Danio rerio: one gene and its partners. The protein of the gene in region 3 interacts with the protein of the main gene of each other region in a pairwise test. Links are inferred from orthologs where the notes say so. Each region holds a gene or a part of one and is shown on either strand. Other genes may lie near its edges. The genes, in order: keap1b, lsm10 and lsm3.

Evidence for each region.
Region 1: the proteins of lsm3 (region 3) and keap1b interact in binary tests that used the Homo sapiens proteins (3 or more experiments, as listed by UniProt). The two-hybrid records come from large-scale screens. The link is inferred for Danio rerio from reciprocal best matches to the Homo sapiens genes LSM3 and KEAP1.
Region 2: the proteins of lsm3 (region 3) and lsm10 interact in binary tests that used the Homo sapiens proteins (3 or more experiments, as listed by UniProt). The link is inferred for Danio rerio from reciprocal best matches to the Homo sapiens genes LSM3 and LSM10.

Annotation. Positions count from the first base shown.
Region 1 is NC_133181.1:203,234-207,576, forward strand, and holds the start of keap1b (kelch-like ECH-associated protein 1B), read right to left. Parts: upstream 2,952-4,343; 5' UTR 2,935-2,951; intron 1,841-2,934; 5' UTR 1,592-1,840; coding exon 1,277-1,591; intron 692-1,276; coding exon 446-691; intron 1-445. UniProt on the Homo sapiens protein: Substrate-specific adapter of a BCR (BTB-CUL3-RBX1) E3 ubiquitin ligase complex that regulates the response to oxidative stress by targeting NFE2L2/NRF2 for ubiquitination.
Region 2 is NC_133194.1:4,215,155-4,219,494, reverse strand, and holds lsm10 (U7 snRNA-associated Sm-like protein LSm10), read right to left. Parts: upstream 3,018-4,340; 5' UTR 2,945-3,017; intron 2,145-2,944; exon of another isoform or gene 2,062-2,144; intron 1,108-2,061; 5' UTR 1,102-1,107; coding exon 739-1,101; 3' UTR 662-738; downstream 1-661. Other genes in the region: protein OSCP1a, read right to left, coding at 3,589-3,708. UniProt on the Homo sapiens protein: Appears to function in the U7 snRNP complex that is involved in histone 3'-end processing. Increases U7 snRNA levels but not histone 3'-end pre-mRNA processing activity, when overexpressed. Required for cell cycle progression from G1 to S phases.
Region 3 is NC_133197.1:33,572,301-33,576,799, reverse strand, and holds the start of lsm3 (U6 snRNA-associated Sm-like protein LSm3), read left to right. Parts: upstream 1-1,565; 5' UTR 1,566-1,628; coding exon 1,629-1,649; intron 1,650-1,842; coding exon 1,843-1,953; intron 1,954-4,499. UniProt on the Homo sapiens protein: Plays a role in pre-mRNA splicing as component of the U4/U6-U5 tri-snRNP complex that is involved in spliceosome assembly, and as component of the precatalytic spliceosome (spliceosome B complex).

The DNA of each region.
Region 1 (4,343 bases), on a different chromosome or scaffold from region 3:
AAGACATGACTGCACACTGCGCTGTACATAAATCAGATCAACATTTTCAGATCAGTCAATAATATTACAGAATAAGTACAGATGTACACACACTAACTCAAGTGAATAGACAGAATCAATGATGAGCTAAACATCTGCAGAATTCTGCGGGCCCGAATCCTCAGTGATCCCGCCGGGCTCAGATCATTTCTCTTTCTCACTACAGTCCATCTGCTCCAGAGTTTTAACTGAACCTCAGTCAGGCGATCTCGGACTGATTGATTTGGTGCAGATCCAAGCACAATTGCTGGATTCACATATGCCAAACGAGCCGCGCTGACTGGACTAACGGGACGGTTCCGAAACAGAAGTGTGGGTGTGAAAGCCCCTTATTGAGGCCTGAACTCTTGTGTTGGTGTGTGAGGGGTGTGAGAGCGGTTATCCTGTGTGCGTCGGCCGCTCTGACCTGGCTGAAGTTCATGTAGATGTACTCTCTGGCCTTCTGGTGGAGCTCCGTGCAGCCGATCTGCTCGGCGAAGCTGGCGATGCCGATGGCGTTACTGGGGTCCAGCTGCTCCACCAGGAAATCACAGCAGGCCTGAACCACGCTGTCGATCTGGTACATCACGGCGCCGTTCATCACGTGGATCACACACTTCTCACCCACTGAGATGCTCGCCGTGTACGCAAACTCAATGAGCCGGCCCATGACCTGGAGACAAGAACACACACGCACACACACACACACACACACACACCGTTTCTGAAGTGGGCACACTGAAAGGCACAGGTCACCTATAATGAACATGTCCTCCTCCTTTCCTCACTCGAGCGCTTCTACAGCTTCATCAGTCTCTGATACTCTGAGGAATGCTGGGAAAGCAGCCGCTGACGTCCACAGCAGGAACAGAAACACTGCTGCAGTCATCAGCTGCTTCCTCCAGGACATCTACCGCTGTGTTCAACAGAAACTCAAACAGGTTTGGAGGAGGAAATGAGGAGAGAGAACAGCTGCTGTCACTGATCACCTGACCACTGAGCTGTGTGTGTGTGTGTGTGTGTGTGTGTGTGTGTGCTGGAGCTCAGGAGAGGAGCTGTACACATTCAAGACCATCACTGTATCATGATGCAACACTCACACAAACACACACACTCACACACTCACACACTCGCACACACACACAGCTGGGAAAACTGCACTACAAATCCAAATTCCCATTTATTATTTTTTCCTAGTGTGTGTGTGTGTGTGTGTGTGTGTGTGTGTGTGTGTGTGTGTGAGTGTGTGTGCTGGTACCTTGGGGTGTATCCCCTCGATGGGCACCACCTCCATGCCGCACTCCTTTAGGCCGTTGGTGAACATGGCGCGGAACACAGGCGAGGACGAGGCCAGCACCACCTTATGCGCCACGAAGTCGACGTGTGTGTCGAGCGGGCAGTAGCGCACGCGGAGTGTGACGTCACACAGCTGTCTCTCGCGCCGCAGCTCGTTCATGATGGCGAAGGCGGCGGCCGTGTGGCTCTCCAGCGTGTAGCTGAAGACGCGGTGCCCATTGCTGGCCGACGGCGTCACCTCCGCCTTACACTCCGTCATGCCCGCCGCCGCCAACATCAGCGCGGGCACATCCTCACTCGCCAGCGCAGCGGTCACGAGAACACACACACACCTGTGTTAGAGACACGCACACATCATACACACACCGCTCATCACCAGCAGGAACACACGCAGAGGAACGCTCACATATCTGTGTTCTCCTGACCAGTGTGAACACACACACACACACACACACGCACACACACGCGCCTGTCAGTCAGTCTGTAGAGGAGGGCAGAGCTGCTGATCTGTGTCTGCACGCGAATCCTGAGGGGGAAACACACACACACACACAGAGAGAGAGATTAGAACAAACACTGAGGATTCACCACTGACTACGATAACACACTCTGCCATGAATGATCAGGAGTATCACACACACTCTCACACACACACACACACACACACACACACACACACACACACACACACACACACACACTCTCTCTTCTGTTGGACTCAGGACTGGTTCATCAGATCTTCGTCAGTGATTTGATCAGAACTAATGAGTTTCAGGAGTTCCTCCTGTCGTTAGCAGGAGTCTATCTTCTGCTTACACACACACATACACACACACTGACTACACACACACTGTCCTGCTGTCAGTGAACCAGAACACACTCTGATCCACACTTAGTGTGTGTGTGTGTGTTTATGAGTGTGTTTTTGTTTGTTTATGAGTGTGTGTACAGGTAAACAGAATCTCACACACTGTTAAAAATGCAGGCTTCCACACAATTCATTCATCTTGACCCAACACAAGTCGATTGAGTTAACTCAACACATTTAACAAATGCGTGTGGATTGAACATAAGAAATTTAAGTTCTCACAAATGAAACCTCAAGAATTGTGTTGTTTCAGCTCATTTTAAATAAGTAGTTTAAAAGAGCAAATATATATGCAGCAGGTGTGTGTGTGTGTGTGTGTGTGTGTGTGTGTGTGTGTGTGTGTGTGTGTGTGTGGTTCCAGCTGTCTGCTAGGTTTATTTTAATGTGTTTCTGTCAATTTGCTGAACTGAAGTGTTTATCTCCGTTTATCCTCCTCACCCCGGCTCTACAGTCATGCTTTAATTTGATTTCCGCTGTTTTCAGCTCTTATAATAACACTAAGAACACAAAGCGCGGTAAATACACATAAACAGCGAGAGGCCTGAGATCCCCGGGCTTGAGTTGAAACGGCACCGGCCCCCGGCAGCGCAGATCCGGCCACACTCAGCAGCGGCGCCGCGCCCGAGCGGGAAACCACAGACCGAGGCTGAGGAAAAGTTCAGCGCTACGCGACCCGCGCTTTAAATTATTGATGGAAACGCGAGCCGACCTCAAATCAAAACACTTTATTCGTGTTATTACCATGTTCTTACCGCGTTATAAGCCTCCATAAACAACACAGTGATCAATCAGGAATAAAGATGAAGATTAATAAAGTTCATCATGAGCTGATCTTCATCAATAAGGAGACAAGCCGCCATCCTCATCCTCACAGCTGTACATCAGAAACTGCATCAACACGAGCCTGTAGATCTGACAAACGCGGCAGTAATGTCGATTAAACACAGTAAACAATGAAAACACACTCACGGGCATCAGCAGCAGCGCACGGACACTCTCTCTCTCTCTCTGTGTGTGTGTGTGTGTGTGTGAGCACTTCTGTGTGTATGTGAGTGTGTGTACTTGTGTGTGTATCATACCCACTGAAAGCAGAAACTCAGCGTGACTAAGCATTAGCTGGCCTGTGTGTGTGTGTGTGTGTGTGTGTGTGTGTGTGTGTGTGTGAGATGCAGTACTGATGTTGGACACGAGGTGTCGCTACAGGTCAATAGAGCGGGCTGCTGCTGGGCTGTGTTTGAGCTGTTCTGCTGTTGGCTGTTCTGGGATCTGTGGTTCAGCTGACTGAACAGCTTCTGTTCTGTTCTGCTCCAGTGTGATCATCAGAGGAGGAGCTGAGCTGAGCTGAAGCTGCACACATCTCATGCCTATACTGGATCCAAAACACGATCAGTAAAACAGTCCGGCTCTCAGTGAGCAGAGCGGAGCGACAGATGGAGGACTACATGCAGAGTTATGTGTGTGTGTGTGTGTGTTCAGCAATTAACATTTTACACTGAAGGACACACACACACACACACACACACACACACACACACACACACACACACACACACACACACACACACACTGCCTCTCCAGTCTGACTTTCATTAATGAGTAAATAAACATTAAAATCTTTGTAGAAGAGCCCAATCTGTGAACAGCTGACCTCTGACCTCTGACGTGCCCGTCTACTGGAGCAGCGACTCACACTCTACTGCACTTCAGTCTGACACTCACGGCAGAGCAACACACACACACACACACACACTGGTCAGGAGAAGCTGAGAGACACACACACACTCTTCACATCTCTATTTTAATATTTCATGAGAAGTTCCAGTTTTGACAGATGACTAAGCTTGTGTGTGTGTGTGTGTGTGTGTGTGTGTGTGTGTGTGGGTAAGAAAGAGAGAGTGTGAGCGATTGAGAGATGCCCGTGGTTTAGGTGTGACGGCTCTGAGGTTGGTTTGAGTGTGTGTGTTTGTTTACGGTAAACAGTGTAAAGGTGAGCTCTGTGGTGTTTCCATGTTTGTTTGTGTGTGTGTGTGCTTGTGTGTGTGTGTGTGTGTGCATGTGTGCAACAGCAGCCCCTCTGCAGACGCACAGCTGAATTTGCAGTCACCCACATGTGTTTGTTGGTTTCCGACACGCACACACACACACACACACACACACACAC
Region 2 (4,340 bases), on a different chromosome or scaffold from region 3:
GTGGGGGCACGGACAAAAGTGAAGAGCGAGGAGGAGGGTGTCACAGACAAAAGTGGAGAGGGGCGGGGCGTTGTGTCATGGACAAATGAGAAAAGGGGAGGGCACGGACGACAGTGAAGAGTGAGGAGGAGGATGCTGCTGACCAAAGTGAAGAGTGGAAGGGGTGGGGTCATTAGGGCCCCTAATAATGTCTCTGGGGGCCCCAAAACTGTGTGAGTCCTTAGAATCGTCCTAACCCTCCCCCCCCCCAACAGCACGGGGCTCTTCCTGCTGGAATAGTTGGCAGTGCATTCCACTGTGGCAACCCCTGATAATCAGACTAAGCTGAAGGAAAATGAATGAGATATCCAATTTAATAGTCATTCATTTGATCTCATGAAGTCATTACAAATATTTAAAAGCGCCAATTTTGAAAATAAACATTCCCATTACACTGTAAACAAAGTGTTAAATGCATCAGTGTACCAATATTTGCATATAACCTTAAATATACGTGTACTTTTGGCTAAGCAATATTGACATGGGAAAAAGCAAAGCGTGTAGTTTAAACAAACAACGCCACATTAAATAACTCATCAGTCAATAGTCATTTCACTAATCTGCTTATGTAATTCTCAAACCACCAGAGACGCTCAAAATAAACACAAGTCATTTTCCCACATGACCCAGAAACCATTTTAATATAAACAAACTATTCACCAACGAGCATTCCCATCAAAAACACACTGCAAGCATCAGCTACTTTTTCTTTGAGTACTCCTTCCGTCCACCGCCCGCTCCGAAGTTTCGCACGCGGTGTATTTTGGAGAGCTGCGCCTCTATTGTCTCTATAATGTTGATCTGGTCAGGGATGTGGACGTACCGCACGTTTCTGCCAGTAATGAAGAGATCATCCATGCTCGACTTGCGTCCCCGTCTGTCCCTGTATAGGACATTCTCCAGCCGGATGTTCATGAAAGCGTCCACATTTATCACTCTGCCCCTCGCTGTGCTCTCGTCTCGCAGGTCAACTGTGGTCACCTGTCCATGCAGACCCTGCAGGAGGATCACCAGACTGTTCTCAGCGATGGTGCGTTCACGTATCGAATGGCTCACGTCCATGTTGATCTGTGCACAAAATAATCATAAACAATCAGACGATTTCTTTTGTGTGATATAATATCTGATTATAATACTACGTAATGACTAGACCCACACAGAATCAACATGTGGAGCATGACGCAGATTTTTAGTGCATCGTTGAGTCTATTTATTTACTTTGTATATGCATTCAATTTTGAAATTAATTTCAGTATTATTGACTAATATGAAAATTATCATATGATTTATGTACAATACAGTATGTAAATTAATATGTTCCATCTGTTAGTAGATATATTATATGAGAGACTTTGTTTACCGAATAAGTGGATCTAGTTGGATTTGCACTGTAAACATTAAATACAAGTTAAAACAGTATTATTTTTATTTAATTTATTAAGATTTTTGTAATGATACTCCTAAAATCATTCTGCATAAATCCGCAGATGTTTTACAGCAAATACAGTGCTTAACATATACAAGTACAGCCCCACAGATCTCTCATTTAAATTAATGTTTTCTACAAGAAGCTTTATGAATATTATATTTATGTATTGTATTAGTTAGTACTGAAGCCAAATCTGGAGCTAATCTAACAAAATAACTTATGATAACAGTCCAAAAGTAGTTTGTAATTATTTTCTCAATATTTTACATTAATTTGAATGTAGAATCTAAAATTTCTAAAAATGTTCTGTAAGTAAAATATTAAATATATATATATATATATATATATATATATATATATATATATATATATATATATATATAATCTGTTTTGTTCAAATGCACCAAAATATATGCCCTATACTCACCAAGAAATAGATAAAAATATTCATTTTCAAAATGGGGTGTACTCGATTATGTTGAGAACTGTATATCTGTAAATCTCAAAGAAGTATATGGAAAATGGTTGCCTCACATAAATGTAAAAAATGTCTGTCATAAGCTGAATAATTGTATTTAAATGTTGTGGGCAAGTGCATGCTTGCAGGTTTACGGCTCCGCTGACAGACACATCGCACACCGCCTTTTATGAAATTGATAGAAAATATCCAAAGCAGGTTTGTTTACAAAGGTGAAATGTGAAATATGTTGTCAAATGTCTTTAAATGAATTTTAATCCGCGTTAATAACATAACATACACATACATACATAATATATTATGTTTCCATACGTTTTTGCACTTTTTAATGTCTTCATATGTCTATTTGTGTATGTGTAGGAAGATTTTTGTGCCAATTTTAGCCAACTATTATTTAATTGTTTGATAATTTTTTATATTATATTAAACATTAAATCAATAAGTATAGTATGCATACCAAGGCTAGTATTCAATTCAGGCTTATTTGTACAGCCCTTTTCACAATAATGAATGTTTCAGAGGTGCAAATTATTGCATTACAATCAAATTTAGAAAAGATAATATTAGTGACTGTACTGTATTAGTTACTAATAATTTAACAATAGCTTATATATATATATATATATATATATATATATATATATATATATATATATATATATATATATATATATATATAAACATAGTTAACCCGCAGCTTTATTTATTAATGTATGTGTGTGTAGTTAAGGTTTTGTGCATTTTATACTGACTCTGCATTGGTTCCAAAGTTAAATACCGAAATAAGCAGAAATGACGATTGCACACTGGATAGTAGCTGACTTACCAGTGTACAGTATCCACTTAACTACTAACTAGCTGAACAGGAAACCTTTACGACTTAATGGAGCACGCGAGAGTTGCAACTCAACCGAGAACATGACTGTTTAATTTTTTAACAAAACCACAGCCACTCATAAAAAGCTGCTGAACTAGAGAGTGAATAAAACATTTATTACCTTCCGTGGTGTTGTCTACATGCTCAAAACATGTTTACGTCCTAATGGTTTCGAGCACCGCGCTTTGTCGCAGCTGATAATTACGTCATCAAGACGTACCGGATTAAAATCGTTCGCGCGCCCTCTGGTGGCTCATTACGTGTACAACGTCAATATTTAATCGGAGAAACTGGTTAGTTTACAAACTTTTTGTTTTTAAATTCAGTGTAAGTTATCTCCTAAAATGCTGCTGCTTTCTATATGTTGGGCGAGTTGATATATACTGTTATTTTAAGACGCGTTGACTGCTGTAGTCGACATTTTAATTTCATCGTCCTGTCAGAATAACGTTAGCTTCGTTTGAAATGTAGGTTCGTTACATTTCTGTATTTAACATACCATGTATTATTTGAAAATTATGAAAAACTAAAACTAAATGTTTTATCATTAAAAAGTAGTGAAAAATGTTAATACAACACTTCAAATAAAGTGTGAAGCAAATAAAACCATGAAGGGAACCGATGACAGCTGAATATGCCTTCCAGCTTGTTCTTAATAATGTTTATGAAAGTAAATATGTCAGGCATTTTCTAACAGAGCATATTTTTTGTGACCTTTCAGACCTGCCACATGCTTTCTGACTCACTGTTGATAGCGACTGACCTTTAGAGCTCATCCATCATGGCCAGCAAATCATCACCCTTGTTTCCCAGTTCCTCCGTCTGGTTTCCCTCTTCATCAAACTCTTCCGCTATGCGAGCCAGTTCAGTGCTGGCCAGCTCATCCTGGTAATACCAAGGTAATTTTTATTAACAACAACCACAACAAAATATCAATCAATCAATCCATCCATCCATCCATCCATCCATCCATCCATCCATCCATCCATCCATCCATCCATCCATCCATCCATCCATCCATCCATCCATCCATCCATCCATCCATCCATCCATCCATCCATCCATCCATCCATCTATCTATCTGCATATCCATCCATCCATCCATCCAACCATCCAACCATCCATCCATCCATCCATCCATCCATCCATCCAGTATATAGTAATATACAGTAATTAATACAGAGTGTAGATATATAATATAATAAAAAAACTATGATTTGGTCTCTTTACATTTGTATTAAGGGTTCCCACAGGTAATAGAGTTTCTGGAATATCATAGACATTTAAAAGGTCTATTTCAGACATTTAAAGTCAGTATTATTTATTTATTTTTTTGTCCACGTCATGGAATATTATAGATTTTTAATAAACTTTCCATTTATCAAAATGTAATTTGTATATATTATATATAATTTTATAAATTATATCTGTTTTTTATTTTCTTTTTTACGTGTTACCTATTACCATTTTTTCTTTCTTGCTTGTCATCTGGCTGTCAAATACATTAAAACAATATG
Region 3 (4,499 bases):
AACTGTGAGAATTGTATTGAAGTGTGCTCGAATTATTGCTAATTAATTAAACATGCATCTTAATGTATGTTACTTAAACCTGTATTATAAATACACCATATTGAAGCGGTTTAATTATTTCAAGCATTAAATTAAGCCATTGTTAGATTTATGAAAAATCAACTTTTCATTTAAAAATCAATAAAAGTCTGTCCTAAATTTAATATAAAAGGTTTCTGCATATTGTTTTATACTTTAGAAATAAAATGATGTCATCTGAGGTTACGAGGGAAAAAGCTGCAGTTTCCACATATATCCAGCAGGGGTCCTTATGCATCTATTCATTTCAGCTTTTACTTCTTGATGCTTTAGGACCCATCCCATGCTTGAATGTCTCAGTAGTCCTTCAGCGTTAGAAGGAATGGTAGGCTATAAAATATTTTCTCAGCTTACACAGTCGATCTACATAACTGAATAGCAACACAGGCACAGGTTACTGCATCTATTTTTTAATATATATATATATATATATATATATATATATATATATATATATATATATATATATATATATATATATATATATATATATATATTTAACTGACTGTCACACATTCTCAGCATTTGCTTTTAGTTGAATTTCAAGTGCAGCAAGCTAAACTTGTTATTTATTTCTTAAAGAAATATTATAATAATTTACTGTCATGTTGTGTGACATGCAAAAGAAAATATTTAGAAAATTTTAATATTCAGAAAGTTTTTGTTTCCAATTTTTATTTGTGCTCTAGACCCAGGCCTTTGCAGAAATGTTAAACTTTTTAAAATTTATAATGGGTTTAAAATTCATTTAAAAAAAATAATCTTAATTTTTTTTCCACTTTTCTCATTTTTTTTCAGTGTGGTCAGTTTGACCTCAAACACCATAAGTTTTTTTTTTCTTTTTTTTTTTTACACATATAAAGCAACCAAATCAAGTCCAGTTGTGACTGTTTTGTTAAAGGTTGGACTGATGTGACCCCAACATTGCCTAATTGATAAAGTTGCAATTTCATATGCAAAATTGCATATAAATAAACACCAAATAGCCTACTCTTGATAACAATGCAATCCAGATGATCAGCCTCACAACTTTCACTATACAACTAAATTGTCTAATTTTCCTTTGCAGGAAATGTGAGATGGGCTTTCCCAGATATGAAAATGCGGAATTTAAAGGAAGCAGGAGGAGATGTGTTTCAAATCTAACAGGGAGGGGGAATAGTACTTCCATACTCACAAACACAAGCTTTTTTCAGGAATGTCTGTGCGATCACTGATCCATCAATGTAGAAAAGGGATGAAAAATTATAATTTTCGTAATTTAAAAAAAATAAATAAATAAATAATTGCACAGTGACATCCGGGAAAACTCCCGATCATAGCCTATGTGTATATCTTTGGCTTTGGATGGTCACAGCTTGCATTCATTTCAAAGGAGCGGTTCCCTGTACTAACATGGTGGATCTATTGACGCATTCCTTCCAATAGACAACAACAGGGTAGGCGACATCTAACGTATATATCTATGTCTAACAGGAAGCAGATGCATTTTCCGTCTAATGATTTGTTCGCGAGAGAAACGGAAAATGCATTCTGGGTAGATTTGAAAGATGGCGGACGACGCTGAGCAGGTTTGCAATTTTTGCTTTGTATAAATATTTCGTTAGCTGTTTGATTATCGCGGAGGTTAATCGTATTAATTGTGTTTATTTTTAACTAGTTGAACACACGGGTAGCCTATGCTAAAGCAGCTTGTAACTACGACGATTGTTTGCATGGACATTTTCATTCAAATAAAATACATCACTGAAATTTACTTTACAGCAACAGACCACCAACACCGTAGAAGAGCCTCTGGATCTGATTCGGCTCAGTCTGGATGAGAGGATCTATGTAAAGATGAGGAATGACAGAGAACTGCGTGGCAGACTGCATGTGAGGGGAATACTACATTACATACTCTAAGTTAGTTATACTGCACGTGAGGGAAATGCCACATAATATACTGCATACGAGGGGAAAATACTACATTAAATACACGTTTCTACTGTACGTTATTGGAAAAAATACAACCTTAAGCATATTATATAACGTTATACTAAACCTGATTCAAAATACTACATTAACCATTATATAATGTTACATAAAGTTAGTTACATTGCACGTGCAAGAAAATACTAAGTTACATTGTGTATATATAAGTTACACTAATTATACTGCACGTGAGGGAACATACTACATTAAACATTATACAGTTATACTGCACGTGAGGGAAAATACTACATTAAACATATTATAGACTCTAGTTAATCTGCATGTGAGGGAAAATGCTGCATTAAACATTATTAAATTGCACTTGAGGTAAAGTACTTTTATAGATATATTGTTAGCCTTCACGTGAGGGAAAATTCTAAATTAAACATTAAATATTATAGTTAGACTGCATGTGCGGGAGAAATACTACTTTAGTATATACTCTAGTTCACTGGTTCCCAACCTTTTTTTGCCTGAGACCCCCTTTTTCCCTGGAAAATATTGTTAGGCCCCCCTCCACATTTAATGATATAATCGCTCATATAAGTTTGCACTAATAATGACAAAAAATATTGTTTCAAACAAAGCAAAGGTAGATCTCCAGGAACAGGATTGGCCACCCCTGCTCTAGTTAGACTGCGCTTGAGAGAAAAAACTAAATTAAACAGATTATACTCTAGTTATCCTGCACCTGAGGCAAACATTAGGCATATTATATTTATCATTATTATATTTATGTTCATTCATTCATTTTCTAGTCGGCTTAGTCCCTTTATTAATCCGGGGTCGCCACAGCGGAATGAACCGCCAACTTATCCAGCAAGTTTTTAGACAGCAGATGCATTTCCAGCCGCAACCCATCTCTGGGAATACTATTTATATATATATATATATATATATATATATATATATATATATATATATATATATATATATATATATATATACTAATTAAACTACAACTGCACATGAGGGAAAATACTTATATAAATATTATATACTCTAGTTATACTGCATGTGAGGGAAAATACTACATTGTAGTTATTATATACTCTATTTATACTGCACATGAGAGAAACTACCACATTGTACATATTATATACTCTAGTTCAGTGGTTCTCAAACTGTGGTACGTGTACCACTAGTGGTACGCAGGCTTCCTTCTAGTGGTACGTGGAGGAATAAAATATGTCATGTACATGCTACACACATTTCAAAATTGATAAAAATGATGTATATAATGTCATATGACATATAGCCTATATTTCTCATGTAATCTGCCACGTTTTTTTAACTGTGCAGAGTTGTAGCTGCTTTACTGGGCCTACAAGGCTATTGTATCTCAATACTGCTCATTTTGGTGGTACTTGGAGAGACAATTTTTTTCTGAGGTGGTACTTGATGAAAAACGTTTGAGAACCACTGCTCTAGTTATTCTGCCCTTGAGGGAAAATACTACATTTTATACAGACTCAAGTTCAATTATGTCTCTAAATGTATTATGTTCTGTTATTAAAGTCACATGAATTTGGTCTGTGGATTTTTTGGAGAAAATAAAGGATAAAAACATGTAAAAGTGAATTGATAAAATCTATTAAAATGTAATAATCAAATGTTTTATCCTAATAATTGACTACACGCATTAGTGTAGTATGTAAAGTGTTTAGTAAAAGAAAGGAAACATACAGAGGATTAAAATAATATTTATATTGTAATTGTATTTAGATCTAAAATACAAGTCTAAACTAATAGTCTACAGCAGTTCTAATGTGTTATTTTAACAGTACGTATGTATATATGAACAGTATATTGAAAAATCTGTTTGATTTTAATAACAAATCACAGAGATAAGGGATCAGAAAAATGTAAATGTTTTGTATTTTACAGAGGTAAATAAACTTATGGATGACCAAAAATGTACTGAATACAACTTCCTTTGTGTGAATTAAACAGCACAACCAAAAAGGATAAATGTTGACATAAATATACTTTTATTATTTTAATATTCATTTCTTTAAATATTTATTTTCTTTTATTTACCATATTTGCATTAACAGGGCTCGAAATTGCGACTATTTTGGTCGCATATGCGCCCGAAATTTTATCTATGCGACCTTAAAATATATTTGGGAGCATTTCTGCGAGAGCTTAAAATTGTTGTGTGCAACCAGTTTGTCTGCTCTTTGTCTGCAAAAATGCAGCGCTCGGGAATGGTTTAAAACAGTTATCATGTCAACTTGTTGCAGTAAACAAATCCAAGTCCGTAATGCTTGCCCTGCCTTTGCGCTCTTCTTATTGGCCCACCACTGCTCTAGCACTGAATGCGAATGATTGGTTAATATCAGCTGTTAATCACTCAGTCGCCTTCTGGCTTCGGACGACAGAGAGGGCTACTACCGCGAAAATTGTAAAGCGCTGAAGATGAGAAAGATAACCCTGACAGATTT